Struthio camelus: one gene and its partners. The protein of the gene in region 1 purifies or fractionates together with the protein of each later gene. This does not show direct contact. Links are inferred from orthologs where the notes say so. Each region holds a gene or a part of one and is shown in the gene's direction. Other genes may lie near its edges. The genes, in order: SYMPK, CPEB1, CPSF4 and CPSF2.

What was found.
Region 2: the proteins of SYMPK (region 1) and CPEB1 purify together in Homo sapiens (affinity purification with mass spectrometry; 3 studies listed by BioGRID and IntAct, counting the BioPlex papers as one, with this or other methods). This does not show direct contact. The link is inferred for Struthio camelus from reciprocal best matches to the Homo sapiens genes SYMPK and CPEB1.
Region 3: the proteins of SYMPK (region 1) and CPSF4 purify together in Homo sapiens (affinity purification with mass spectrometry; 4 studies listed by BioGRID and IntAct, counting the BioPlex papers as one, with this or other methods). This does not show direct contact. The link is inferred for Struthio camelus from reciprocal best matches to the Homo sapiens genes SYMPK and CPSF4.
Region 4: the proteins of SYMPK (region 1) and CPSF2 purify together in Homo sapiens (co-immunoprecipitation; 8 studies listed by BioGRID and IntAct, with this or other methods). This does not show direct contact. The link is inferred for Struthio camelus from reciprocal best matches to the Homo sapiens genes SYMPK and CPSF2.

What each region holds. Positions count from the first base shown.
Region 1 is NC_090957.1:1,740,545-1,747,572, forward strand, and holds the start of SYMPK (symplekin), read left to right. Parts: upstream 1-4,013; 5' UTR 4,014-4,061; intron 4,062-5,797; 5' UTR 5,798-5,815; coding exon 5,816-5,923; intron 5,924-7,028. UniProt on the Homo sapiens protein: Scaffold protein that functions as a component of a multimolecular complex involved in histone mRNA 3'-end processing. Specific component of the tight junction (TJ) plaque, but might not be an exclusively junctional component. May have a house-keeping rule.
Region 2 is NC_090953.1:25,267,579-25,274,591, forward strand, and holds the start of CPEB1 (cytoplasmic polyadenylation element-binding protein 1), read left to right. Parts: upstream 1-3,999; 5' UTR 4,000-4,425; coding exon 4,426-4,665; intron 4,666-5,346; coding exon 5,347-5,524; intron 5,525-7,013.
Region 3 is NC_090956.1:4,548,460-4,555,563, reverse strand, and holds the start of CPSF4 (cleavage and polyadenylation specificity factor subunit 4), read left to right. Parts: upstream 1-4,084; 5' UTR 4,085-4,241; coding exon of another isoform or gene 4,242-4,248; coding exon 4,249-4,351; coding exon of another isoform or gene 4,352-4,646; intron 4,647-5,321; coding exon 5,322-5,372; intron 5,373-5,870; coding exon 5,871-6,023; intron 6,024-6,815; coding exon 6,816-6,911; intron 6,912-7,063; coding exon 7,064-7,104. Other genes in the region: PTCD1 (pentatricopeptide repeat-containing protein 1, mitochondrial), read right to left, coding at 194-310, 558-1,322, 1,727-1,828, 2,470-2,688, 2,896-3,036, 3,530-3,882, 4,242-4,646. UniProt on the Homo sapiens protein: Component of the cleavage and polyadenylation specificity factor (CPSF) complex that play a key role in pre-mRNA 3'-end formation, recognizing the AAUAAA signal sequence and interacting with poly(A) polymerase and other factors to bring about cleavage and poly(A) addition.
Region 4 is NC_090946.1:65,729,634-65,737,152, forward strand, and holds the start of CPSF2 (cleavage and polyadenylation specificity factor subunit 2), read left to right. Parts: upstream 1-4,512; 5' UTR 4,513-4,629; exon of another isoform or gene 4,630-4,703; intron 4,704-5,318; 5' UTR 5,319-5,355; coding exon 5,356-5,504; intron 5,505-6,989; coding exon 6,990-7,149; intron 7,150-7,240; coding exon 7,241-7,346; intron 7,347-7,519. Other genes in the region: ATXN3 (ataxin-3), read right to left, coding at 220-243. UniProt on the Homo sapiens protein: Component of the cleavage and polyadenylation specificity factor (CPSF) complex that play a key role in pre-mRNA 3'-end formation, recognizing the AAUAAA signal sequence and interacting with poly(A) polymerase and other factors to bring about cleavage and poly(A) addition.

The sequences.
Region 1 (7,028 bases):
GGGCACCCTGGGGACATCCGCATCGACCTGGGGATGCCGAGGTGGACCCGGGCGCCCTGAGCCTGCCAGTGGCACCCAGAGGGCTCCCCGAGGTGGACCCGGGCGCCCTGAGCCTGCCGGTGGCACCCAGAGGGCTCCCCGAGGTGGACCCGGGCGCCCTGAGCCTGCCGGTGGCACCCAGAGGGCTCCCCGAGGTGGACCCGGGCGCCCTGAGCCTGCCGGTGGCACCCAGAGGGCTCCCCGAGGTGGACCCGGGCGCCCTGAGCCTGCCGGTGGCACCCAGAGGGCTCCCCGAGGTGGACCCGGGCGCCCTGAGCCTGACGGTGGCACCCAGGGGTCTCCAAGATGGACCTGGGGCCCCCGAGTGGGCCAGGGCAGACTGAGCCTCCGCCACCCTAGACTGTGGGGGGGGGAGGGTTTGGGGGTGCCAGGGTGGCCCTGGGTGTCACCCCGCACACGTGTCACCCTCCTCTTCCTCGTGCCCTTCCTCCACCCCCCCCCCCGGGGATTAAAGAGCTTTTTAATATCGGCCCCCGCAGCCGCCTCCTCCCTGCACCCGGTGTCACCCGTGGCCCCGGGCTGGGCTGGCACCCATGGGTGGGGGACACGCGCTGGGGGGGGGATGGAGGGGGCCGTGCACGGCCACGCAGGGACGTTGGGGCCACGGGGTGGGGGGGATAGGGACGTGGGGCACCCCAGGGTGGCAGCCCCCCCCCGCTGCACACGTGTGTCCCCGCACCCCCCCCGCTGCACACGCGTGTCCCTGCACCCCGACACACACACATGTCCCCGCACGCCCCGATGCACACGCGTGTCCCCGCACCCCCCCGCTGCACACGCGTGTCCCCGCACCCCCCCGCTGCACACGCGTGTCCCCGCACCCCCCTGACGCACACGCGTGTCCCCGCACCCCTGATGCACACGCGTGTCCCTGCACGCCCCGATGCACACACACATGTCCCCACCCCCTCTGATGCACACGCGTGTCCCCGCACCCCCGACGCACACACGTGTCCCTGCACCCCGATGCACACGCGTGTCCCTGCACGCCCCGACGCACACACACATGTCCCCACCCCCTCTGATGCACACGCGTGTCCCCGCACGCCCCGATGCACACGCGTGTCCCCGCACCCCTGATGCACACGCGTGTCCCCGCACGCCCCGATGCACACGCGTGTCCCCGCACCCCTGATGCACACGCGTGTCCCTGCACCCCCCCGCTGCACACGCGTGTCCCCGCACCCCTGATGCACACGCGTGTCCCCGCACGCCCCGATGCACACGCGTGTCCCCGCACCCCTGATGCACACGCGTGTCCCTGCACGCCCCGACGCACACACACATGTCCCCACCACCTCTGATGCATACGCGTGTCCCCGCACCCCCGACGCACACGTGTGTCCCTGCACCCCGACCCACACACGTGTCCCCGCACCCCTGCTGCACACGCGTGTCCCCGCACGCCCCGATGCACACGCGTGTCCCCGCACCCCTGCTGCACACGCGTGTCCCCGCACGCCCCGATGCACACACGTGTCCCTGCACCCCGACGCACACACGTGTCCCTGTCCCCGCACGCCCCGATGCACACGCGTGTCCCTGCACCCCCGACGCACACGCGTGTCCCCGCACGCCCCGATGCACACGTGTGTCCCTGCACCCCCGACGCACACGCGTGTCCCCGCACGCCCCGACGCACACGCGTGTCCCCGCACCCCGCCGCCGGCCCCCCGCCGCCCCCAACACTCGGCCCTTTGTGCGCGGCGCGGGCACGGGGCCCACGGCGCCGGTGGCGGCATAAAGCCCTGCCTGTGCCCGGCGCCAGGCTCTGCCGCCCCGTGGGTGCTGGGGGGGGGGCACCGGCCGCCCTGGGTGCTTCCCCCCCAGCACCCCAAAATTAGGGGGTGCAGCCTGCGGGCACCCCCTAATGCACCCACTATGAAGGGGCCCAGGCGTCCTGGAGGGGTGGGGGGCAGTGGGTGCTGGGGGGGGTCGTGCAGCACCATGCACCCTGCCCTCGGACCCCCCCACACACCCCAAAATTAGGGGGTGCAGCATGTGGGCACCCCCCTAATGCACCCGCTATGAAGGGGCCCAGGCGTCCTGGAGGGGTGGGGGGCAGTGGGTGCTGGGGGGGGTCGTGCAGCACCATGCACCCTGCCCTCGGACCCCCCCACACACCCCAAAATTAGGGGGTGCAGCATGTGGGCACCCCCCTAATGCACCCGCTATGAAGGGGCCCAGGCGTCCGGGTGGGAGGGGGGCAGTGGATGCTGGGGGGGGGACGTGCAGCACCGTGCACCCTGCACTCGGACCCCCCCCCAGCACCCCAATATAGGGGAGAACCACCTGCCCCCCCCCGGGGAAGGGGCCCAGGCGTCCGGGCGGAGGGGAAGCAGCACCCCGGGGTGCCACGTGGCCCGGCGGGCGCGGGGGGGGGGCGCTGGCCGGCAGCGGGGGCCGCGGGGCCTTGTTTATGAGCTGCTGCTGACGAAGTTTCCCAGCAGGCCCCCCCCCCCCCACGCAGGGCAGCCAGGCCTCGGGGTGACCCCCCCCCCCACAGGGCGCGGGGGGCCCAGCCAAGGGACCCAGGCGTCCGGGCGGCTCCGGGTGCCAACGTGGCCTCCGGAGCTGCCCGTTTTGGGGGTGGTGGGTGGGGGTCGCTCCACTCTGCAGGGAGCCCAGGCGTCCGGGCTGCCCCCACCCCCCCCCACCCAAGGGAGGACCTAGGCATCCGAGGCAGCACCCTTTCCCGCAGGGCACCCCGGGGTGGTGGCGGTGTGGGGGGGGTTCCCTGGCTGAGACCCAGCAGACTCGTGGCACAGGTGGCGGAGCTTGGGGGGGGGGGTTGTTCCCCTCTGACTGAGACCTGAGACCTGGCACACTTGTGGCACTGGTGGTGGAGCTGGGGGGGGGGTTGTTCCCCTCTGACTGAGACCTGAGACCTGGCACACTTGTGGCACTGGTGGTGGAGCTGGGGGGGGGGGTTGTTCCCCCCTGACTGAGACCTGAGACCTGGCACACTCGTGGCACTGGTGGCGGAGCTGGGGGGGGGTTGTTCCCCCCTGACTGAGACCTGAGACCTGGCACACTTGTGGCACAGGTGGTGGAGCTGGGGGGGGGGTTGTTCCCCCCTGACTGAGACCTGAGACCTGGCACACTTGTGGCACTGGTGGTGGAGCTTGGGGGGGGGGTTGTTCCCCCCTGACTGAGACCTGAGACCTGGCACACTTGTGGCACTGGTGGTGGAGCTGGGGGGGGGGTTGTTCCCCTCTGACTGAGACCTGAGACCTGGCCCACTCGTGGCACTGGTGGAGGAGCCAGGGCAGGGGGGCAGAGACCTGGCCCACTCGTGGCACTGGTGGAGGAGCCAGGGCAGGGGGGGCAGAGACCTGGCACACTCGTGGCACCAGTGGAGGAGCTTGGAGGGGGGGGTTGTTCCCCTTGGCTGAGACCTGGCACACTCGTGGCACCAGTGGAGGAGCCGGGGCTGTGTGTGTGTGCGTGGGGGGGGAGGTCCCCTCTGACTGAGACCTGGCACACTCGTGGCACTGGTGGAGGAGCTGGGGGGGGGAGGTTGTTCCCCTCTGACTGAGACCTGACACACTCGTGACACTGGTGGCGGATCCAGGGTGGGGGGGGGTGCACAGCGATGTGCACGTGGGATCCCGGTGCTTGCACACCCACGTGCACGGGACCCCCCGTCTTCGCGTTCGCACACCCACGCGGGAGCCCGGTGTCCGCACACCCACGCGCACCCCCCGTGTCCGCACACCCACGCGGGATCCCCGTGTCCCACGCGCACGGCGCCCCCCCACGCGCATGCGCCCCACCTGCACGCGCACCCCCGCCCCTCCCGCGCGTGCGCGCGGCGCCCCCTCCCCCTCCCCCCCCCCACCACGGCGGGCGGCGGAAGCGGAGCGGGGGAGGGGGCGTGGCCTCCCCAGACCACGCCTCCCGGCCTACAGCTCCCAGCGGGCAGCGCGCCCCTGGCGCCGCCGCCTGACGTCACGGCGCGTGCGCGGAGCGCGCCGAGGCCGCCGAGCGCGCGGGCGGCGGTGAGGGGGGCTGGGGGCGCCTATAGGGGCCCTATAGGGGCCCATAGGGGCGTCGGGAGGGGGGGGAGGTGGGTCGGGCCTTGGGCAATGTATGGGAGCGGGAGGCTCCGTGGGGCTACGGGGTGAGTGGGAGCCGGGGCTCGCTAGCGGGGTGGAGGCCCTATAGGGCTGTGGCGGGGGGGCTATAGGCTCCTATAGGGGTGTGGGTATGGCGGGGAGGGATCTATAGGGCCGTGGGGGAGGGCAGGGGCGTCGGCCGGGCCGAGGAATGTATGGGAGATGGGGCTCTGTAGGGGGGTGGAGGCCCTATAGGGCTGCGGGAGACCTATATGGGCCCCTATAGGGATGGTGGTATTTGTGGGAGGGGCTCCATAGGGCCCTGGGCCTTGTGTGGAGGCTGGAGGCACTATGTGGGCATGGAATGCGTGGGAGATGATGCCCTGTAGGCAGGGGTGGAGGCTCAATAGGCCTGGGGCACCTATAGGCTCCTATAGGGGTGAGGGCAGGTGGGGAAGAGGCTCTATATGGCCCTGGGCAGCGTGTGGGGGGCTGGGGACTCTATATGGACGTGGGATGCTTGAGAAATGGGGCCCTATAGGAGTGAGGGAGTGTAGGGGAGGCATCTCTATAGGGTGCTGGTCAGTGTTTGGGGGCAGGAGGGTCTGTAGGGACAGGATGTGTGTGGGGAGTGGGGCTCTATAGGGGCCTGGGGGATTGGTAAAAAGAGCTGAAGGCCCTATAAGGGGCTGGAGGAGCTGCAGGTGCCTACAGGGGTGGGGATATGTGGGCAAGAGGCTCTATAGGGCCCTGGGCAGCGTGTGGGGGTGGGAAGGTTTGTAGGGAAAAGGGGTGTGTGGGAAATAGGGCTCTATAGGGTCTGGGGGAAGCACAATGGGGTGAAGTATGGGGAAGCAGGAAGCTCTATAGGGGCAGGAGTACGTGGGCAAGAGGCTCTATAGGATCCTGGGCAGTGTGTGAGGGTGGGAGGCCCCGTATGGCCAGGAGCTGTGTGGGAAACGGGCTCTATAGGGGGAAGGAAACCGTGTAAGAGTCTATAGACACTACAGAGGCATGGTGCTCTATAGGGTCCTGGGCTTGGGTAGGGGGGAGACAGGAGGCTATTTAGGGACCAGGAGCGTGCTGAAATATAGAGCGTGAGTGTTGGAGGGGGTATGTGGTGGCAGGGCCCTCTATAGGGACCAGGATAGGTGCGGAGAGGTGCTGTGTAGGGGCCTGGATTGGCAGTAATAGGGAGGAGGCATATAGGGTGTCCCAGGACTCTATAGGGACCAGGATAGGTGTGGAGAGGTGCTGTGTAAGGGTCTGAATTGGCAGTAATAAGGGAGAGGCATATAGGGTGTCCCAGGACTCTATAGGGACCAGGATAGGTGCGGAGAGGTGCTGTGTAAGGGCCTGGATTGGCAGTAATAAGGGAGAGGCATATAGGGTGCCCTTGAGCTGTGTAGGGGGCTGGTGGGGGGGGCCTTGTGTGCCTGGGCTGTAGGGAGTGGGGGAGACCCTATAGGATAAGGGGTACTGGGGGTTAAACCTAGGGTGCCTATAGGGGCCAGGGGGTGCACAGTGAAGCTGGCAGAGGGGCCCTGTGTGCCTCGGGGGGGTTCACTGCGGGGGGGGTCAGGGTGCCACTGCGGGGAGGGAAAAGGGGTCACGTATGGCTGGCGAGGGGGGCAGTATGGCTGGCGGGGGAGCGGTGCTGACGCCCGCTCGCCCGGCAGCGAGGAGGCCGCGGCGCCATGGCGGGCTCGAGCGCCGACGGCCCCAACGCCCGCATGAGCGTGGCCTCGCAGTTCTTCGCCGAGGAGGAGTGCGGCGGCATCGACAGCATGAGCACCTCGGAGCGGGTGCGTGCGGCAGCGGCGGGCCCCCGCCTGCGACGTCCGCGCGGGGTCCTCGCGGGGATCCAGCTGTGATGTCCTCGCGGGGATCTGGCTACGTTGTCCTCATGGGGACCTGGCGTGGGGCTCTAGGGTCCTCGTGGGGACCCGGCACAGGGCCATTGGTCCTCGCGGGCACTCGGCTGTGACGTCCGCGCGGGGACCTGGCTCGGGGCTGTTGGGTCCTCATGGGGATCCGGCTGTGATGTCCTCACGGGGACCTGGAACAGGGCCATTGGTCCTCGCGGGCACCCGGCTGTGATGTCCGCGCGGGGACCTGGCACAGGGTCATGGGGTCCTCATGGGAACCCGGCCGTGATGTCCTCACGGGGACCCGGCGCGGGGCCGTGGCGTCTTCGCGGGGACCTGGCACGGGGCTGTTGGGTCCTCATGGGGATCCGGCTGTGATGTCCTCACGGGGACCTGGCACAGGGCCATTGGGTCCTCGCGGGGATCCAGCTGTGATGTCCTCACGGGGACCTGGCACAGGGCCATTGGGTCCTCGCGGGGATCTGACTGTGACGTCCTCGTGGGGACCTGGCACAGGGTCATGGGGTCCTCATGGGAACCCGGCCGTGATGTCCTCATGGGGACCCGGCGCGGGGCCGTGGCGTCTTCGCGGGGATCTGGCACAGGGTCATGGGGTCCTCATGGGGACCCGGCTGTGATGTCCTCACGGGGACCCGGCACAGGGCCATTGGGTCCTCGCGGGGATCTGGCTGTGATGTCCTCACAGGGACCTGGCACAGGGCCATTGGGTCCTCGCGGGGATCCAGCTGTGATGTCCTCATGGGGACCTGGCACAGCGTCATGGGGGTCCTCATGGGGATCCAGCTGTGATGTCCTCACGGGGACCCGGCACAGGGCCGTTGGGTCCTTGCGGGGATCCGGCTGTGACGTCCTTGCGGGGACCTGGCATGGGGCCGTGGGGTCCTCCCGGGGACCCAGCTGTGACGTCCTCGTGGGGACCTGGCACGGGGCCGTGGGGTCCTCGCGGGGACCCAGCTGTGACGTCCTCATGGAGACCTGGCACGAGGCCATGGGGTCCTCATGGGGACCTGGCTGTGACACC
Region 2 (7,013 bases), on another chromosome or scaffold:
TGCAGCAGAGATTGCTGCCTTTCCAGGTTACTGGGGCTGCAGCTTTTCTCACCTGAAGCTACTGAGCTCTGATTCATGATTGCAGGGTATGTTTCTTCAGTTAAGTGGAAACCCTTAATCTTGCTTACCACTTTGAAGTTGCTTTTCTAGGGAGGGGTGGTTCTAAGTGCTCTTAAAGTTTTTCCCCTCTAAGGAGAGACTAAGGGAACAGTTATTTACCCTTAAACCAGGAGACTGGAAGCTTCTTGTAGCAAGACTTCTGTTGGGCACCCAGGAGACTTGGTCCCTAATCTCTGTGCTCTGTTAACTACACAGAGGCAAGAAAGTCTTCTGGAAAAACAAGTTCTCTGCTTTGCTGTTACCCTTTGGTATTCCCCAGCTAAAATCAATCAACTTTCACTATGGCTGTTCTTGGGATAGACTGACCATGTGCACTGGCAGTTGATCTGTTCCTAAGTGGTTCCAGCTAGTGCTGTGGATGGAAGCTGCATTTTGTGAAGAATTTCAGCATCCTGGGGCTTTGCTGCAGTTTATTTCAACCAGAACAGTCTCCCTAAGCTAATTAAAATGTTATTTTGCTTTGATAACATGTTGAAACAAACATTTGTGATTTCACTTGGTTCAGAAGCTGCTTGGGTAATAGTTGCAGAACGCTTGTTCCAAAAATCTCAAAGAGAAGGTGCTTCAACAGAGAAGCTTCTTTCAAAACAGGAATTTTGGCAAAAATCAGTGTAGTTCTGAAGTCAGCACTCCCATGTAAAATGATTCTGTCGAAATCACTTCCAAACAGTCTTGGTTCTAGCCAGATGTGTTCAAGGCCCTCTCTACACAAAGTAAACCTTGAAAAACTTCTGAAGTTCAGCCCTGCTGATGCTGAGAGTGCTGATAGGTCAAGTAGTGCAGGCCTCAGTTAGATGAATTGGACCTGCAAACTTTATCTGTTTGCTAATATAGCTGAAATAGCAGTATTGCTTGATAGGAACAGTTGCTGGTATCGTGCTTTGTTTTGATGTAGCTGACTTCAGCTTGGGAAGCAAACTACACCAGTAAAAAGGGATTTCCAGAGCTGATTTGATCAAAATATTAAGCTATCCTGACTTATGTTGAGACTGGCACCAACAGCATCTCAAATCTTGTCTCAGGATTCAAGGCTGTAGCCTTAACTACAGTGCTGAGAACCCCTTCAGTCATCACTATGCCTCTGCCTCAAGTGTGGTTTCTGTGGAAGATGAGCAACTCTTCAGTTTTACAAGTGGACAACCTTGTCTGCTCCAAAACATCCTGAGGAGCTGATGTAGATCTTGACAATACTGGCAGCTGAGCTGTGTTTAGTGGCTTCCCTGTGGATTGGGACATCCTAATACTCCTTGTGTCGTGCTGCTGTGATGCCCCAGGTTTGCTGTGATGGTCCTGGTGTTCATTAGCTGCCAGACTGAAAGCTGTAGTTCTCCTACAGATGTGTGTAGCTCAGTCTTCAGGGCTGTGAAGGTGCCTTCATTTCGACTTATGCTCAGACATCCTTGGTGGTTTTTGCTACACAGGTGTACTTTGTTCCACGGACTGAACTGCTATGGGTTTATTAACTGTTGGTCTCCTCTGGGAGCTTCTGCAGGTAAACTGCAGGCTGCAGTCATGGGATTTGTTTGGGGCTGACAAGACGTGAGCTCCCAAGAGACCTGAGAGCCGCTAGGGTAACACTTTAGCGGCCAGCTTTCTGATGCAGAGCCAGCAAGCGAGAGCTCTGTAGCTCTCTTCCTGTTACTGAGAGGGAGCACAAACTCCTCTTCCTATTTCAAATCAAGCCAGGCATTTCCCCTGTTTCATTTGGAGTGTGGTGCTAGAGGTGACTGGAGCCTAATAATGCCATCCTTGGGGGGCCTCAGTCTGCAGCAACCTAGAGGTGCATCTTTGTGCTTGGACATGGATTCTTGCCTGATGATTAAACTGAACTGAGATGGCAGACCATGTTCCTGTTTGAGCCTCTCCTTGCTGCATGTTGTTCTGTGCAATGCTGCTTGAGTTCCTATTTCAGGTCTTCCATTATTTAATTTTAAGCCTGCAAATTGTTTATTCCATGCCACTGTGCATTGCACTGAACGGAACTTTCTCACCTTTCTGAGCTAGAATGGTGTCTAGAAACTCTCTGCTTCCCAACGGAGAGGCTGGGTGCCTTACTAGGCTTTAGGAAGCACTGTTTGACTTCTGATGGCTTTAAGTAGACTACCAGCTAGATAACGCTTCTGTATTGGCTGTTGTTCATCTATTGGCCACACCAATAAAATGTTGCCTCCTGTTCTGAATTGGGATTGTATGCTTTAGCAGACAGGACTGGTTGTTGGGTCACTGATTAGTGTTTAACAAAATGTGCCAGGTTACTGCTGATTCCCCAGGAGAGAGAGGACCTACCACTGCTCTTGCACTGATGCCACAATGAAAGCAGAGGTGGTCACCTGCTCAAATGCCAGCTGTAGCTATAATTACCCCAGGCAGTATACTTTCAGAGAAGCCTGAAGATGCAGCATATGTGCAGCTATCAATGCATGACTCGGGTCAGCAAAATCCTTCAAGACAGAGCATTGAAAGCTAATTCTAGCTGAGCTCAAGAATGCATTTTGGCTTGGCTTGAGGATCTGAGAGTTGAGTAGGTTCTGGAAGATGCAGCCTCAGACATGATACTTCTCTATGCTTTGGTGTTAACTCTCTTATGAGACTAAAAGTCATGGCTGTGTCCTCTAGCTGCATGTTTGTAAACCTTTTACACTTGAAAGTACAAGTTGCTGAGGGGTTTTGGCCCTGTGCACTCTGAAGACCTGCCAAGCTCTTCTCAAAGGAGTATCTCTGTTTTGGGGTGTCTGGGGAGAGGGGTGAGCTTTACCAGGACCGAGTCTAGAGATGTGAGCCACTTCCTACAAGGTGTGGGATGCCAGCTCCCGAGTCCAGGTTGTCTGCAGTATCTCTGGGGTATCCTTCATAATCTTAAGGTTAAAAGCTTTTTAAGTAAAAGGAGAATCTGTAGAAAAGATTAGCCATGGTCTTGCTGTTTTCTGTTGTTCTTATTTGTGGCAGGGCTGGTGCTGCCAGTTGTGGGAAGCATCAAATGCTAAATGAGCAGGAGTGGGTCAGGCATTTGATTTGCCACTTGAGTTTATTTTTGTCTTGCTAGCACAGACTCCTAGGAAAAAGCTTTGCCTCCTGCTGTAAGAGGTTCTTTAGCAGTAACATGAGTAGAATATGGAGTTTCACACTTGTGCCAAATCAGCCTGATGCGGCACTTATTTTTATTAAGATGACTGGCAATACTTTCTTAAATTGAGCTTCTGTACTCCTTGGCTGCTTTTTATAAAGATGACCTAAAGTCCGCTCTGCCTGTTTGCTCTTGCCTGAGGCTTGCTTTGAGCCCTACCTGCTTACTCTTGGCTTGTGAATGCTCATGTGCTGTGTTGAGAGTTCTGGGACCTTATCTGAGGGTGGGCTGAATCTTTCAATAGACAAATATCCCAGGCAGCAACGCTGAATAGATGTTGATGGTCTTAAACAGTCAGGCTGAAATCCCTTCCATCAGTTGCTCAAGTCCTGTCTGGAGGCATCACACGAGTTGTATATCCACTAGTTTGTTGCTGCACCCTTCTAGGACAGGGGTACCTTTATTTTTACCGGACTGCGAAGGAAGCCTGCATGCTTGGGAGAAACTCTCAAATCATGCCTGTTGAGGACTTGCTTGAAAGCAGAATTTTATGTTATGGCAGTAATGCTGCTCATGAAGATAGGGTTATGGAGAGAATGCAAGTCCCATACTTGGGCTAGGATTAAAGTTCCAGTTGCCATGTGAAATTCAGTTTAGACTTACCTTCTGCATCCAGTTGCAGGCTGCATACTAGGAAGACTTAAGGGATCACTTTAAAATAAAGCCAGCTCTGTGGTTCAGGCTTGCTACTGATCATAAGCTTATGCCAATAGTTTTGGGCTGCAAGGCATTTTCCTCCTAACTGCAGTCAAGATGTGGATGAGGCAGAGAAATGTGGGGAAGTCAGGCCCTAAACTCTTGCAGAATACATCCAAAAGGGAGATGTATTAAACGACTCTGACAAATACAAATGTTCCACGGTCTAAAGCTATAGGTTTTTGTGCCTCTTGGAGTAGCAGTGGCCTTGTTTGTCAGCTTAGCTGCAGTTCTGTTCTTGGAGTCTGGCTCTAACTAGATTTGCTTAATGGCAAGGATTCTGGTCCAGAGGCCAAGACTGGGGAGGCTGTACCTTCCTGCTCTCCTCTTTAATATGCATCTTAATTGAGTGATACTGTTTGCTCAGCATGTCCAAGAGCAGGATTCTGCTGCAGTGCCTTTTGGGTGATGGGAGGACCTGCCTGTGGTCTGAAGATGCTGGTTAGAGATCAAGTTTGGCATCTTGTGGATTGGCAGAGGCTTGAATGTTGTACAGCTGCACTGAAAGAAGCCTAGATGTGAAAGTAGCTTGCAAGCAAAGCTGGGGGAAGCAGCTGGAGTGCCAGTTCTCTGGCCTGGCACTAGAAGCAGGAGTGTTTTGCTGCTCTTATGCAGAAGAAGCTTTACTGAGAGCTTTGACCTGTATAGGATGGCTGGACTCAAACCCCATGAAGCTGATGGATCAGTGCCTGTGGAGGATTGTGATAAAGCAGAGCTGTTCCTGGGTAATGTCCCTCTCCTGTAAGGAGCTACTAACTAAAGGGAAGGTCTGGGTTTAGTTCTCTGCCTTGCCAAGTGAAGCCTCAGGACTTCTGAGCTACATTTGAATGGCTGGGAAGTCGCACTCTTCCAGAAGCCTGCTTTCGAAAGTGATGGCATGGTGGCTGACTTTGGCCATTCCAAGGTGTTCAGAGCTCTCAAACATGGGTGGTTGCTCTCTGCCACTGTGCGTGGGAGAAAACTGGTATCTTGTGGTGACCTCCCCCTCCCCTCAGTGTTGAGACATGGGTTTTGGAGAAGAGAAGCATCTGTGTTACCCAGATCTCTGCCTGTCACCTAGTAATGAGAGGCACCATGCTGGAGAGAAGTAGCAATCTCGTGTCAGCTACCAACCTAGTTTTGGAGCTACAGCTCTTAATCTCAAGTCTATCCTAGCCTTGGTGAGCTTGTACCAACTTGTTACCAGAATGGTCCTGGTCTGATGTGCTATGCTGACAAATTGCTGACCTGTTTGCTTAACTGTTTCTTTAGTGCAAAGACTTGTACTTGGGTGTTGCTAGGACCTGGAGCTAAAGCTAATATGAAATGTATTGGAGGCAATCCAGAATCTTCCTACAATGTGCTGAAAGCAGGGTGGTGTATACTAGCTTGCTAGACGCTAATGTTTCTTCTCTCTCTTCTACCAGAAAGAAGACCCTGGGAGGAGCATAAAGGACTGCTGGGATAGCCCTGATGCCCCTGCCCTCTCCACTTGCAGCAATGCAGATATATTCCGCAGAATAAATGCCATGTTGGACAACTCTTTGGATTTCAGTGGAGTCTGCACCACACCAATCACAAAAGGCAAACGTGACATCTTGCCAGGTGATGTGTTTGGCTGAGTTTGATGCAAGCTTGAGTTTTGAGGGCTGATGTAATGGAGTTGCCTGATGGGACCTACCAAACATGTCTTGGCACTCCCCAGTGCTGTAGTCGTTGCATGTCCTTGTGAGCAGAGAGCTGCCTGAAGTCAGGGTTTGCACTCTCTTGATACTGGGGGCTTCGTCTGTGTGCCTAAAGTGGATAATTGAGCTATTCCGTGGCAACGTGGAGGTGCCTGGCAGTGTTTGCTCTTGCACCCCCTCAGTTGCTGGTGGTGCTGTAACTTGGTGGGTGGGGGCAGGAGATGAGCTTTTATTGCCTGACCTATGTAATGCATAATCTGCCAACTGCTCCTGGTATAGACAGTTCCCACAGATTCCTTTATAGTGTGCCTCCCCTGGAGGCAGGGTATATCTGTTAGTGGTTAGGATGGCTGGTCTGCTGCATATCTTACAAATGCAAAAGACTCTTCAGTAACCACATTTACTAGAGATCGGTTAAAATCTTGCATTTAAGAGTACACCCAAGCAGTGCGTGCAGATGAAGACTGTCTTGCGAAGATGAGCTTGAGACTCCAGAATTAGTGCTGCAGGTGGTCACTTCCCACAGGCTCTGAGGGAACAGGGCATGTTCTTGTGCTTGATTTGCATCAAAACGGGAGGCTCTGTGCCCAAGCAAAGAGTACTGGGTCAGTCTTAATTTTGTGTAACGGAAGGACATGCTTTTTTGCCTTTGTCGTAGGAAAGATCTGATGAATGTACCTGCCCAGAGCCTGATGTTCCTTTTGCTAGAGTAGTTCTGCACAGCCATGCTTGCCCTTGCTCCCCTACTTCTTTAAACATTGTTGCTGTTATTGGAAACAAGCTGGCCCTCTGGACCTGTGCCAAAACAAGTGGGAACTAAAAGGAAAGCCTCCCAGCTGGTAACTTTGCAGGCTTCTCTAGGTAGATGAGCTTTGCTTGCAGTCACTAGGAGACAGAGTTGTCTTGTGTAGCTGAACTGAACAGGTGTAAAAGCTGCAAACCAGTGTCTGGGCAGCCTGTGGATCAGCTGGCCAGCTGTAGTGGTTTCCTGCCTGGCCTAATACTACTAGCTTTCTAGCTTGCCTGTCTTAGTCATGCTTTTTTGTGCTTAAGAGCAGTAGGACCTCTGAAAACTGAAGGCCTCACTTGTCTTGCTGTTTGCTTTGGTTTCCTCTGAACAGTGCTGTAACAATTATGTTGAACTCCTCAGATTAGACTTACTCTGAGGCTGGTATGGTGTAACTTTGTTCTGGACTAGTGAAATGACTGCTACCAGATGATTTCCAGTGCAGCTTAATCTTCTGGGTATTTGAGGGGCTTAGTGCTGTGGACTAGACTGACCTGGCATGTGATCCTGTGCTAGTGCTGCAGCAGTTCCAGAAGTGGATTGTTTGCTTCGAGGAACAGATCTAAATACAACACTTCTTGAAACGTTGCTAGTGAAACAGTACTGGGAGGATATGCTGTCT
Region 3 (7,104 bases), on another chromosome or scaffold:
CTAGTGCAGGCACGGGACAGACCAGCTGAGCTCTCAGTCAGTTATTCAAGAGTTACATGTTCTTGGGAGTGAAAACACTCGCTGACCACATAAAACACAGCAAGTCTTTTTATAAGTTTAACAGTTCACTTGCTTTGCCTTCCTGAAGTTTGAACCTAAGTGTGTTTTGTTTTTGTTTTTGTTTTTTTTTTACCGTCAAATCTGAGAGTAACTGCAGTCCATCCTTCTCTCGGTGGCAAGCAATTGCTAAGTTACAAAACGTCTGGAGGTTAGGCGATATTCCTCTCTTCGCTAGAGCTGGCAGCAGGCCCTGCAAGAGGCAAGTGCTGACATCAGTTTCCAAAAAGTCTTACTGTAGCTTTCCAGGCAGAGCTGGAGATGCTAAAACAGAATCCATAAATATTCAGAAAGTACCATTTTCCACAAACCAGTCCTCAGGTTAAAGATTCCCAATTTATATTGCGGATACAGAAATGCGTCTCACAGTAAAACGCAGGTAACACTGGAGGCCCGAGACAATAAGGTGGCAGTAGAGCCAATTTGGGGTTTTTTCTCACCTTTGCTCCTTCAAGGTCTCCCTGTTTACTTTTCTTTCTTATTAAAGTGTTAAAGAAAGTCACATCTACTTTCACTTTATGCTCATTGAGGATTGCCAACAGAGAGGACTCTGATGGGCTTTGGGGTTCCACCAGCTCAGCCAGTAATGTGAAAGTTTTAATGTTGGGTTCTGCGTCATCCTCTTTCATTTTATTCAAGAAGCCCTCCACATCCCCCATCAAAACCAGTCTATCAGATGGTGTGGCTACTGTCCCCAAGGAAACCGTGGCCACATCGGGCATCTTGGAATCCAGTAAGTTAGGCAGGTTGCAGAAATGCAGGTTCTGGCTTTGGCTTGCTTGTTCCTGCTCTGTCTCAGTCTGGTCTGTCCTCATCAACGCTCCAGTCCCGCTGTGAGCTATGTTAGCACTGGCAAGACCAGCCAGTATTGGTTCTGTTTCAGCCCAATTCACATCTGTGTTTTGTTGCTTGATCTGTTGTGCAGGCTGCACAGAGTTCTCCTGAAACAGTTGCTTTTCCATGGCTTCCACATCCAGCTGGACAGCAGCTGCACTCTCTGATCCCTTCTTCCTCTGACTTCTCGCCTTTTGTTTCTGCCTACTGGGTGCAAGCCTTAGCTGAGATGAATTCTCTTCAGTGGGTCCTAGCAGTACTTGAGAAGCCAAAACTGGATCGCCTATTCCACAGTCTCTTGCAGCACGGAGCATCAGATTGTAAGTGTGGCTATCGGCCTTTATCCCAAGTCTAGTCATTTGTTTCCAAACCTGAAGAGGGGAAGATGAACATAAGGTACATGTGATATTAAACAACAGGAGCATTTCTAGCAGGATGTAAGCCTATCTTAGTATATCTACAGTGCCGGCTGTTAATCATATCCACCTGCTGAAAGGGAGTAAGTTTACAGCGTGATGCGATGTCATTAGACTTTGAATAGACACCTAGAGCTAGTACAGTCCTATGAGATCATCCAGAACAGTTTTACAGGTGTTTGCACTATGAGATATCCTGATGGAAGTCTAGTTTACAGAACTTGTCTTGGGAGGAGCTGAGCTCCTCCTGTTTTCATCAGCTCTGAGCAGCCTGCTGCCTTCTGCAGGCTCAAGTGACGAGTTACAACAACAGATGCAACGTCATGTTTTTCCTTCCCACTGAGTACACGAAGACAGACCTGCAAGGCATAGCGGAAGCCATTGTCTTTGTCCTTTATGCAGCCCATGAGAAGGAAGCTGAAGGTTTCAGCTGTGACAACGTGACCCTTGTGCACAATTTCCTAAAAGAGGAGAGAGAGCATTAAACTTCCCATTCACCCCTACAGTCTGCCACAGCTGGCTGCGAAGCACAAAGTACTGCCGCTGCCTTCTGGGGACAGAGCAACGACAAAGCACAGGGCAGACTCCAAGTACCGGGAGCAGAATGATAGCTGCAGGAGGAAAAAAGTCCTGACAGTACCTGCATAGATCCTAGTTTCTCCCTTATGGGAGCTACGGAGAACTTGGGGGCAGGAATCCTTTTGGGTACTGCCGGACTGGCCCCTCTGAGAAGAGGTGCTTTAAGAGCCATAAAAGAAGCTAGCTATCAATATATGCGTTCTCAAAAGGAGGGAAGGAGATAGAGGAGATGTGAACCCCCGCAAATACTCTGTTCAACAAATTGTTGACAGATCAGAACAGACGTTTAAAGCCAAACGACGTTTAAGCCTGCAGCTGCCTCTTTTTATCTACTTAAACTTTACCTGATATGTATCAGCACTATTTTGTTGTATAAAAATCAAAAGTCAATACAAAAATATGACTACTTGTTCTAAAATGACCTGAGCTTAAAATGAAATAGAGAAATCTACGCAATATGGCAGCTTCTAGGAGTTTTAAATAGAGTAGACTACGCTTAATACAAGAAAAGTCACATATTTACCTTCAGTACATCAAAGCACATCCTGAGATCTGAGCACAAGGCGCACACTTTCAGCAGAGCATGGTAAGTTATCAGGTTCAGCTCTTGATTTTTGCTCTTTAGTTGCTGCCGTAACTTGAGAGCACTCTGCAGACCTGAGTCCTTCCATGGTGATTCAGCACAGGCATTGAACAGGGCTGTGTAAGTGGCATCAGTGGGGAGTAAGCCTCGTTTTTTCATCTAAAGGGAGGAAAAAAAGAAATGGAACTGGCTTTTTAGGAAAAGAGTTCCAGAATTTCATAGTTTGCTTTTAAGATTTTCAGGGTAACAACATGTAAACATTGACTCAAAGGCATTTTGGAGTCAGAGACTCACGACCAAATGCTTGAAACCAGTTTTGGCTAAAAACGTAATGAAAGTTTTAATGAGGAGAGGACGTAAACCTACATCATTGTAGAGCCTGAATGCCTTTTTCACGTAGCCAACCCTGCCACAGCCACCTATTAGAACCGTGTAGTTGCTTTCTTCTGGCTGGACACGTTCTTCCTTCAGCATCTGCACCTCAAACAGCTCCAGAGCCTCTGCCAGCTGCAGGAAGGAGAGAAATCCATGATGAAGCAGCAACAGAATCAGTTATAATGGGTGTTAATAGACTGTGGTAGAAGTCCTAGAGAGCACAGGGTTCCTCGCATTCCTTATTTTACTTCTCTTCTGTAAAGACATACAGTGACCACACAGGACAATACACATGGGACAGCGTTGGAGGTGTTTGGAGTGAGAAGCCGCAGCACACTTGATATCAAACCCAGGACTGCCACGGGGGGTGACAGACTGGCTGAACGGAGGAGGAGATGAGGAGTGGTTGAATTTGTAGAGGAACTAATTGCACACCCTCAGAACTGACTAGTTAACTTGATTCTTATTTTCGGAGGGGAAACAGGCATAGGAAAGACCAGTGCCGTAGTCCAGGTTTTGCAAACGGAATCCTCTTTTAGCTCCTGGCCCAGCAAGTCTACAACACCGTGCTGCCTCTCTATCATCAAACGCTCTTTAACAAACAAGCAAAGAACTGGGAACAAACCTTGTCCTGTTTAATGAGGGCCTTGCATTTTAAGAAGTACCAGTACGGTGTGTTCTTGGGCCCACGCCGAGGTTTCCCTTCTTCTTCCTCCTCCCCCTCTTCTCGAAGCCGTAAATTCTGAAAGTGCGACGTGGTTTTGTGATAATGCTTTCTGGAAGAAAATTTACTAGATAGCGTCCCAAAATCCACGTCCGCCTCCTCGTCCGCGTCACGGGCGGCTTCAGCGGCGCCGCCGGGACCGAGCTGGGCCGGGTCCCCGCCGCGCAGCGCGCAGGCCGCCGGCGACGAGCCGAGCGGCCTCAGGGCCGCCGGCAGCGGCCGCCCCCGGCTCGGGGGCCGCAGCAGGCCGGGCGCTGCCCGCGGCGGGGCGAGGGGGGCCCGGGGCGGCCCGCGGGCCACCAGCCGCAGCAGCAGCAGCCTCATGGCGGCCCGTCGCCGCCGGGCGGGGAGGGGGTGGGGGGGGGCAGGAGGCCTCCCGCCGCCGTCGCTAGGCGACCGCCACCCCGCTCGGCGCCGCGCGCGCCAAACGGCGCCTGCGCGGGCGGAAGGGGCGTGGCGGCGCGGCGCCATTGGCGGAGGCGCGCGGCCTGCCGGGAGGCGGGGGGTCAGAGGTGACTCCCGGCATCCCGCGGCCGCCGATCGCCACACGCCGCCGCAGCGGGCCGCGCCGGGCCCCCCCCCCCCTTCCGCCTCCTTCCGCGCCCCTTCCCACCGCCATCATGCAGGAGCTCATCGCCAGCGTGGACCACATCAAGTTCGACCTGGAGCTGGCCGTGGAGCAGCAGCTGGGCGCGCAGCCGCTGCCCTTCCCCGGCATGGACAGTGCGTGCGGCCGCCGCTCCCGGGGCGGGCACCGGGGCCTGCGGGCTGTCCCCTCCGCTCCCCGCCCCGCCGGCGGGTCCTGCCCCGGGGATGGGGCCCGGCCGGAGCTCCTGCCGGCAGCGGCCCGGGGGGCCCGGCTTTGCCTGAAGCCCCGGGCGGGGGCTGCCGGGGGCCTGAGCCCCTCTGCCGGCTCTTATTGCATCGAGCCAACTTCTGCTGTCCCTTATGAGAGCTTCGGTCTCAACCCAGATGTTTTTCTTTCCTTCCTTGGTGCCATAGTTAGTGCCAGACCAGGCTAGAAAGTGAAGGTGGAGGCATCATTCTGAATAAACTTGACTTTTCTCCACAGCACTTCAGTTTCTTTGTTCCCCTTCCACGGATGAGGTGTTTTAAGGACCAGGAAGATCTCATCTTGGAGTGTATCTGTGGCCTGTGCTCTAAGCTTTCTCCTACAGTCTAGTAATCTGGTACAAGTAGTCTAGGGAGACTTACAGATTGTTAAAATTTTTCTGGCTAGACTACTAAACTAATATTTTAATGCCCTTAAATCATCTGATCCCTGTAGGTCAGGATCAGCAAGGGACAGCATCCTAATGCTCGTCTCAGTCCTTTTTGGTCAAAACAATATAAGACTTCAGTTTTCCTGGCTGTAAAGACTGGTTTCACCAACGTGATTGATTTAATAGCAGAGGAAAGCCTGGTCAACAAAACCTGGTTCTCCGAAAGGCTAAATAGGCACCACCAAGCTCCTGTAAATCCTGTTGGTGTACGTTTTACCAAAAAGTTTACAGATATTGGTGAGGGCCAGACTTGAACAAGGAACTCGCACTGGAAAGTAAACTCCCCAAACCAAAACACTGCTCTTTTCATGTTGAGAACCGGGTTGTCTCTGTAGGGAAGGAAATATTTTAAAAATTGCTGCAAATTCTCATAAAAATTAATAGTGTTTCTTTGGCTATTTTCTCCACAGAATCAGGTGCTGCTGTCTGTGAATTTTTTTTAAAAGCGGCCTGTGGAAAAGGCAAGTACTATTCCCAATACAATTATACTTTTACAGATGGGAGGGGAAAGGGAAACTAGATTCCTTAGCACATCGCTGTGTAGAATGCTCATGGTATATTGTAAAAATGGGGAATAACTGAGATGGAATTAGCTGCCACAATTGTGAAGTAAGGGTATTTTTTAGAAGAAGTGGGGGTGAATAAGCAAGGCTACCTGCAAAGACAGGTTTGAACTGATTGCAAGCGGTCCTTGCTCTGCACATGCCTTGTTAGTAGCTGTGGGTCATGGCTGCCCGGATTAAGAGCTGGAGCTTGCACTGCTCTGCTCATTAGAGAGTAAAAGAAGACTCTTATCAAGAACTCCCTGTTCTGCCATTGCCACTTACAGAAAAAGTGAAGTCTTCTGAAAACTCTTCTTGCAGAGGGGAGTCAAGTGTTGCTGCTGTCTTGTGCATAGCTTCTTGTGCTGCAGATTTTAAATATTCTTTTTTCTTTTTCCTTGCCCTATTGTTCTGCAGGTGGCATGTGCCCGTTCCGACACATAAGTGGGGAAAAGACAGTTGTTTGCAAGCACTGGCTACGTGGACTGTGCAAAAAGGGAGACCAGTGCGAGTTTCTGCACGAGTATGACATGACCAAGATGCCTGAGTGTTACTTCTACTCCAAATTTGGTAAGGGGCATTGTAGCTCCTACTTGACGTTCCTTGCTAGCGTGGGAATCTGATGGTGCAGAGGATCTTGATACATCCTTCTCACCCTGTCTCATCCATCTTCAAAACATTACAGCTCTTCTGTGTCTGCTGATACTGTTAGGTTGTAATTTGTCAGATCTGCTTAGCCCCTCACCTTATTTTACCCCCTAAATTCTTCATATGTTGTAGATGTGTCCTCTCTCAAGAGCTTGCCCCTTGGGGGAAGAGGGGGGAAGTTCAAGTCTTCGCTGGGTTTTGTACCTAATGTTCTGTTTTGGGTATGAGATGAGTAGGCTGAGTAGGTGGTCTTTGCATGACTTTTATTTTGGGAAGTTGATGAGCAGCAGAGGGTATGGGGGTGCAAAACTTTTATGCACTTGCTTTCCAGCTCTGGAGATCTGGACATAATGAGGCAACTTGCTGTCAGAAACTTACAGTCTTGTAGGTTTCCTTGGATTGAGGTTAGTGTGCAATTTGTAGTTTCTCCACACTTTTGGTGCACTAAATGTTTAGTTTTCGTTATCATGACTGCTCTTTCGAATTCAGTTTCCGCATTGTTTTAAAAGCACACGTAAATAATCCAGTCTGGTAGACTTTTACTCACCTAGGGTGAGTCTTGGTGTTTATCATCTAGGTCAAGGCAGGTTGTGCCTGAACTCATAAATGTTGGTAACAGCTTTGTGGGAGCTACATGATTCAGGTAATGTTTTGGGAGTGCTTTGATCTTGTGCCTGCACCGTTTGCTAAGAAGCGTATTTGCCTTTGGTACAGGGGAATGCAGTAACAAAGAATGTCCGTTCTTGCACATTGACCCGGAGTCTAAGATCAAAGACTGTCCCTGGTATGACAGAGGCTTCTGTAAGCATGGTATGTATGTCACACAGTTGCTGCTTCTGTGCCTATAAAGCAAGGGTAGGGTGATGCTATTTTTCCTTTGCAAGATCTGCCTGTGTACCTGCTGTTAGTGAGTGTTGGGTTACACGTATATGAAGTGTGAACTATTGAGCTTTGTGTTGCAGGTCCCCTCTGCAGACACCGACACACTCGAAGAGTCATTTGT
Region 4 (7,519 bases), on another chromosome or scaffold:
CGCCTCAGCCCTGCCGCCAGAGGGGGCCCGGCCGCAGCGCGCCCCGAGGGCCGCCCCGGAGCCGGGGCCGGGAGCGGAGACCCGCCCGCCACCCCGTACAGTTCCGCGGAGGGAGCACCCCCCGGGCCCGGCGACACCGCGACTGCCCCCCACCCCGGCCCCGGGTGGGTAAAGCTCCGCGCGGAGCGGAACCCTCCCCTCCCACAGCCCCTCACTCACCCGTTCGTGGAAGATAGACTCCATGTTTACTGTCAACGGCCAGCACCCTCCGCCTCACGTGACCCGCCCCAGCCAATCAAACCTCGCTTTACCGGGCAACCCGCCGCAGCCCGGCCGCGCGGAGCCCCCACCCCCACGGTAGCCGCCGGCAGCGGGGCGGTGCGAGCGCTGCCTGCACGAGGGCGCCCCCTGCCGGTCGGGAGGCCCTGCTGCGCCCTCGGCGGCACGAAGCCGGGATCCGCCCCCCGACCTCCCTGCGCCCTCGAAAGCTTTTCCCGTATTTCGCTTGGTTTAGAAATTTAGAAATCACACAGAGAAGTCGGCTTCACTGCTGTCTCTTACCGCCTGTCAATCCTTTTCATTCTCCTGTTCTCTTGCACTATCACAAAGCTACAGTATTGCCACTGCTGACATTCCAAAGAAACATGTCTAAAGAGGAAATCTAAAGAGAAAACGGTTCAGATTTCAATTAAAAATATATAAATACGTTCTCTACCACATTTTGGATCTATATTAAATATTCCTTTAAACATTGTCTCTCTATGAACTACATGAATTTTACACCATACAAATTAATAACGACATACATGCTTTTTGCATAGTTTTTCTTTATTACATAAGTCTTCCTCCCTCTTTCAGAGTATGACTTCCGGGGATAAATGTTTCTGAACAGGACTTGTACTAGTCATGTAATTATCTTTCAAAAAGGAGGACTGAAAATTATAAACTAGCAGAGATGAATCGTAGGTGTTCCTTTCTGCAGCCTTATACGTTCACTCAAGAATAAAAACTGTAATCCTGTTCTTTTAACTTGCTATATATGTTGATTGAACAAGTGAAAATATTTCCCATTTCATCAGCAGCTTCTATTTCCATGTAGTTTCTTCACCAGGTTTCAATTCTCTGTGTGGAAAGGAAAAAGAAAGGCAGGGGAATAACATTAGGATCATTTCTGTAGGATAATTACTAAAAAATGTAAGTTTTAATTATTATAGAAAACCTTGATGTAAGCTTTCATTATTATAGAAACCTTGACTGAAATATATATTAATTATAATGAATAAATCTGACTTTCTTTCAAAGTGTTGTGTTGTCAGTTTAGAATCTTTCAATATGGGTAAATGTTCTCTTTTTCTTTCCAAAGCTGCTTGAGTCCGCTTCAATTAGTTCAAACGTGGGCACCGAACACCTAACCTCTAATAACATAACAAACTTTTTGCATAACAGGGCCTTATTTCTTTTGAATAGAAAAACATCATTACTTTACTGGGGAAAAACAAACAAACAAACAAAACCAGAGGAAGCTTTTGCAACATACTGAAAGGCCAGTGCAATTTAACCACTAACTGCAGTGAGAAAAGTGCTAATAACAGTGGCGTGAGCAGTGGGCGTGTTACTTTACTTTCTCACTCAGAATTATTAGCCCATGGGACACCAGAGTAAAAAAAAGTCACTTGCAAACCATATATACCAACATTTCTACTTTTCTTCCAGTCTGTGATAGACTAGAATTAGTAATTATGCAGCATGATTCTTTTTCTGCTGTTTGGTTAACCCTGCAGTCTTATACAGATTTAAGAGAACTGATCTAGATGAGGTAGCACATTTAGTTATCTCAATTCTCCCCGAGCAGTAAGCCAGCAAGCCCATACCATGGGTATATAGTCATATCCTCAGTAAAGACACAGCAGTTGCTAACATTAAACGTTAAACATTCAAAATACAGAAGCTGGGTTAATTTAAAAAAAGACGATAATTATGTAAATGATGCAAATTTATACAAGTATTTACATGCTATATATGTATACATGCTATGTATATATATGATGTCATACTTTTAAACTTAAGATATAATTTTACTATAATCCACTGAAAAGGTTAAAATTAAAGGAAAACCCAAGTACTATTTGCTTCTGCTGAAGTTTTAGACAGAGCCAAGATAAGGTTTGCACAGTTTCATGGCTAAGCACTTGGCAGCAGTTAGTATGATTAACAAGCTTTGGAAAGCTAAAGCCTTTTATACCAATGCAAAAATACCTTCTTTTTCCAAATTATTTGATATCAAATCAATATTTAGTTACTTAAAATGGAAAACTAATTGGAAGCTGAAAAAGATCACTTTCCATTTTCAATACACAAAAAAATGCAAGAGGCTGCATTTTCCCACCTGTAGAAAAATCAAGGACACGGAGAATACGGAAATTCATACCTACAGACTACTTCCCTAGCTTAATAAGTTACTTTACATTAAAATATGTTTTATAAATTTGTCCCCTCCCTCCCCCTGCAATTATCACATTTAACATTATTTTGTTAGGTAAAGTTTGTCAGAGCTCTAGTATTGTGCATTTAAGTGAACTTGGTACGGTATCCAAATGCAGCTAAATAGGAGGACTCAAAAACATTTCCAGAAGGACTTAAGGGAAGAGGGGGGGAGGAGAAGAGTGGTTTGGAGGTCCTCCCCTTTTCATACACTTTCTCCGGGCCCAGTATACAGAAAAATCCATCTTAAACAGTCTCTTCAGAAGTACAGTTTACAGAATGTTTCAAGTGGTGTTTTTACTTCAACCCTTTGAGATTCTTTTTTATTAGTAGTATTTCAGACAATGTTACTTTTATTTAAAAAGGAACAGTAACAATTTCTATGCAGCAAAGACTGTGTTAATATGCCATGTTAATTACACTGTAAATGGTGAAGTATAGTGGTTAAGTAAATGATTAAATTTTATTTGAAGATTTTTTTCCTAGCAACATGAGTTTCTTATTTATGCACATATTTAGGTTTCTATTTATTTTTCTAGTCATCCTTTTCATAAGTCTACTTAGACATAAATGAAAGTGTCTTAACGTTTACTAATTCTTGCATTTGTTTATCTTGCTTCCAAGAATAACATTTATTTAAAAAAATTTTAAGTCAATTATCTCAACTAATAGGTCAAATGGACAGAATCGCGCACACTTTCTTTCATGACTTATAGCACTAAGATGGGCCCTAAAGCACAGATTTTCAGTAGGCATTAGTCACTCAAAACTCTTAATGAAAGTTGACTGAAATTTTTAGGGCTTTCTTCCTCTTAATATTTTGACAGCATTACTGACTTTTTTTTGTACTTGAGACTCTCAAAAAGAACAGAGAAGCACATCTACTTTGCAAAATAACAGAACATATATATTTTAAAAAGGTATCATAAGCAAACCTTCTATACAGCAAGCTCTTGTTTCTGAAGGCTGACAATTTTTCATCGTTCATTCTGTCCAAATAGCATCCAATCACAAATCCTAGGGGAACAAGGATGTGAACCCAGTGATCACGCACAGCTTGCATGAAATTCACCATGACTGCTAGAAAGAGAAGTGTAACACAGAAGAGTTACTGATAGAGCTGCACACGACAACTGCGACATACCTAGCGCCTTTACTCTCACGTACTAGGATCCTACTATGGAATAATAAACACATGAGGGCCATTAAACACTCCATGCAAGGTGCATGCTGTTCTCAGGTCCAAACACAGGATTCTTACAAAAAAGCTCGGTGGTGCTGGGAAATAGGATCTTATCCTAAAGCTAGAGATGAGTAGACTCTTTTAAGGCATCATTGGCAAAATAGTGACAAAATAATCTACCCACAGCAGCAAAATAATTTACCCATTAAAACAAATCTAAAAGGACAGAAATTTGCTCTCCTGCAAAACATAACACATGTATTTACAGTACCAAATCCTGCAGATGGATGCCCTAATATCAGTAAAAAGTCACAAAGACAAGCCTCGCAGTCACTTGGCCATTGACAGAGAAGCAAGATAACATATCTGTTAACTCCGCAAAGCCTGTTCCAACCTCACCAGCCCAAACCTTCCGCATGAGTGTCCTGCGGGACGATCTGAGACAGCCCGGCAGCCGTACCGCCCCGAGGACGGCCACAGACGCCGCCGCTGCTGCGAAGGGCGCCGCGGGGCGGCGGGAGGCAGGCCGCTCCGCAGCCAGCCGCGACGCCGGCCGGGCCGCAGCTCGCGGCAGGGCCCCTGCCGCCTTCGAGGCTCCGCCGGCGCAGGGAAGCGCCCCGAGGCGCTGCAGGTGAGGGCTCCCGCCGGCACCACGCAACCCGCCCCGCTCCCTCCCGCCGCCAGCCCCAGCCGTTACCGCTTGCCGCTGCCGCCGGGCCCGGAGCAGCGGCCACACCAAGGGCAACGGGCGCAGCGCGCAGGCCGGCGCAGCCCACCGGCTGCTCGGGGAGCGGGGGAGGAGCCGCCTCCCCCCCCCGCGGCGGCCTGGCGGTGGTGTCGCCCGCCACCCCCGCACTGCCCTTCCTTCTTTTCTCCCCGCCCCTCTCAAGATGGCGGATGGCGCCGTGTCCGGATGAGGCGGTGGGCGCGCGCCCCGGTGGGCTTGACCGAGGCCCGTGAAGCAGGTAGCGGCGGCCGCGGCCGCCCGGAGGGGCATCGCCGGGGCATCGCCGGGGCCCGGCGCCAGCGCTCGCTGCGGGTTCTCCTTCCCCGTTTCCCGCCGCCCCCTTCCTCCGCGCCCGCGTCCTCGCCGTGGGGAGCCGCGGCGCGTTGCCGGCAGGGCTCGGGCCGCCGGGGCTCGCCGCCGCCTCGGCGCCGCCTCGGCGCCCCACGGGCCGGGCCGGTGCCCGGCGGCGGCGGAGCCCGGCTGCGGGCGGGAGCCGCTGAGCCGCGCCCCCGGCCCGCGCCGCGCCGGGCTGCCCCGCCGGAGCCGCCGGGCTGGAGGGGCTGCGGCCCCGGGGGCCCTGCGGCCCCGCCCGGCTGCCCCCGCGCCGTCCCCGCCGAGGTGGGCGTCGCTGCTGGCTGCCTCGCTTCTGGTGGCAGCTTTTTCCAGGGGTAGCAAAGGCTCTACCCTTTTGTTTTTAGGTTTTTAAAAAAATTCCCTTGGGGCAAATAAAAAGTATTCTTTTCCCTATGTTTAAAAGGGGGTAGATCAAAAGATAGGTAATACCTAATAACCAGCAGCATTATTTGAGGTAGTGTGTAGCAGCCGTTCTCCTCCATGTTCTCAGTAGTGTAAGAAGTTAGAGGTGGCTCTATGTAAATAGACTTTTCCTTTGGGTTAGCTAGTGAAGCATTCCCTTCTCCCATTCAGAATAGTTCTTCTGGAGGTCGAACACTTGGAGAGAAAAATGACATCGATTATCAAGTTAACGACGCTTTCAGGGGTGCAGGAGGAATCTGCCCTGTGCTATCTGTTGCAAGTAGATGAATTTCGGTTTCTCTTGGACTGTGGCTGGGATGAAAACTTTTCTATGGATATTATTGATTCGCTAAGAAAGTAAGTAGTTCATACATCTGAAAAAAAATCTTATTCTTTTCAGAAGTGTTCTAAATGTCATTTTGTTTTGTATGTATGATAATGTTAAATCCCAAAGCATTCTTTTTTATTTGAAAATATCTTTTAATTGAAAGGTATGACTGATAAAACACTTCCAGTAAAAAGTAATCTTTTCCTTGTGAGTCAGTGAGTCAAATCTAGTAACTCTAGTTCTCAGACTTCTTCTGTTTTTTTGTTTTGATTTGGGTGTTTTGTTTTTTCATAAACATAACACAGAACAGAGGCTGTGGGAGACTGAGCTTAGCTCTAAACTGATGCAGGATGGCTAACTAAGTTTAAATAAAAGAATTCTCATTGCATGAAAGCTGAAGATAAAGTGGTTTGGCTTTTGCCTCCTGTTTTAGGTTTAACAGACCGTCAGCCTGGAGAAAAGCTTTTGTTAGTGTCCCGGGCCTGCAAAGAAATAAACATGTCAAGTGTTTTGTACTGAACATCTGTAGGTTTACAGTGAGGAGCTTTCCTCATGCGCGCATTGATTTCAGAGTTAGGCCTGAAACATGGAAATTCCTGAAAAAAACTAAGCCTTGTGATGCTATCTTTATAGATTTACTTTTTCAGTATTAACATACTTGTAATATTTGAAGTCTTTTAGCTGAGCAATATCCTGTATTAAGGATAGCTTCTAAAGTTTTGTTAAATGCCTTACCTGAGAAGCAATTAAACAAAAATCTCCTTTTTAAGAAGAATACCGTCAAAAAAAAAAAAAGTGTGTGCTTCCGTTGCTAGCCAAGGGAACAAAAAGCTAGACTTCTGAGTCTGTCAGCCCAGCTTGTGTTTTCCCTCGTGGCATCTCTTTCAAGGCTTCATGTTTTTCGATCATGCTAGACAGTAAGTTTTTATTTTGAACTCTTACTTTACAAAACACCTGGCAAAAAGAGTCACCTTATATACTCCAAAAAAAAAAATGGATAATTTTAAAAGATAACTTTGACCTTTTCTGTTTTTAAAGAAACACTATGATTTCATCTCTATCAGTTTAAGTGTTGTTGAGCTTTGAGTCCTCTTACGTGGTCTTGCTGATCTGAATGTCAGCTGCAGTCCATTTTGGGTTAATGTGTAACCTGTTTTTGATGTGTAAACAGTTTATGATGTGTCTTTGTACTGAAAACATTTTTGGCCCTTCAGTTGATATGTAAACACCAGAAAGCACATGAAGAATTGAATGTGAAACTTTCAAGAGCTCTTGTGTGACCTGGCCTTAAAGTTACTTTTTTCGGTATTTAAGTTCTTATGTTGCTTGAATGTCTGGAAATATTTGTATTTTTTTAAATTGCTTTTAAACATTTCATTCTAGACCTGGAGGGATTTATTTTCTCATTTGCCATTCAGATTGTGTACTTTTTCCCAAAACAACTGTAATAGGGAGTATAGAATACAATGCAGACCGTGTTTTCACCAGCTCCTTCTGTTGTCCCTTTTTTGTAGGCATGTACACCAGGTTGATGCTGTTCTTCTTTCTCATCCTGACCCTCTACATCTTGGTGCTCTTCCATATGCAGTTGGGAAAATGGGCTTAAATTGTGCCATTTATGCAACTATTCCTGTATATAAAATGGGACAGATGTTTATGTATGATCTCTATCAGGTATATTTAAATTGATACTTTCATACACAAAATCTCTGATATGGTAGAGTGCTCAGGTTCTTGAACGTTCTTTACTTCTTATTTCTTTTAGTCCCGCCATAATACAGAAGACTTCACTCTCTTTACGTTGGATGACGTAGATGCAGCCTTTGACAAAATACAGCAGCTGAAATTTTCTCAGATTGTGAACTTGAAAGGTAAAGTTGTTCTGTTTCACTAAATTATTTTTAATGGCTCTGTTGCCTTTCGCTACAAATGAAGGTAACCTTTTAGAAAGGAGTAGGTCTTTGTGTATTTCTCAGCCTGGACCACAGCCCAACACGGTAGGGCTTTGTTGCTCTGTATCACAGAACATCTGTCTCAGTAATTG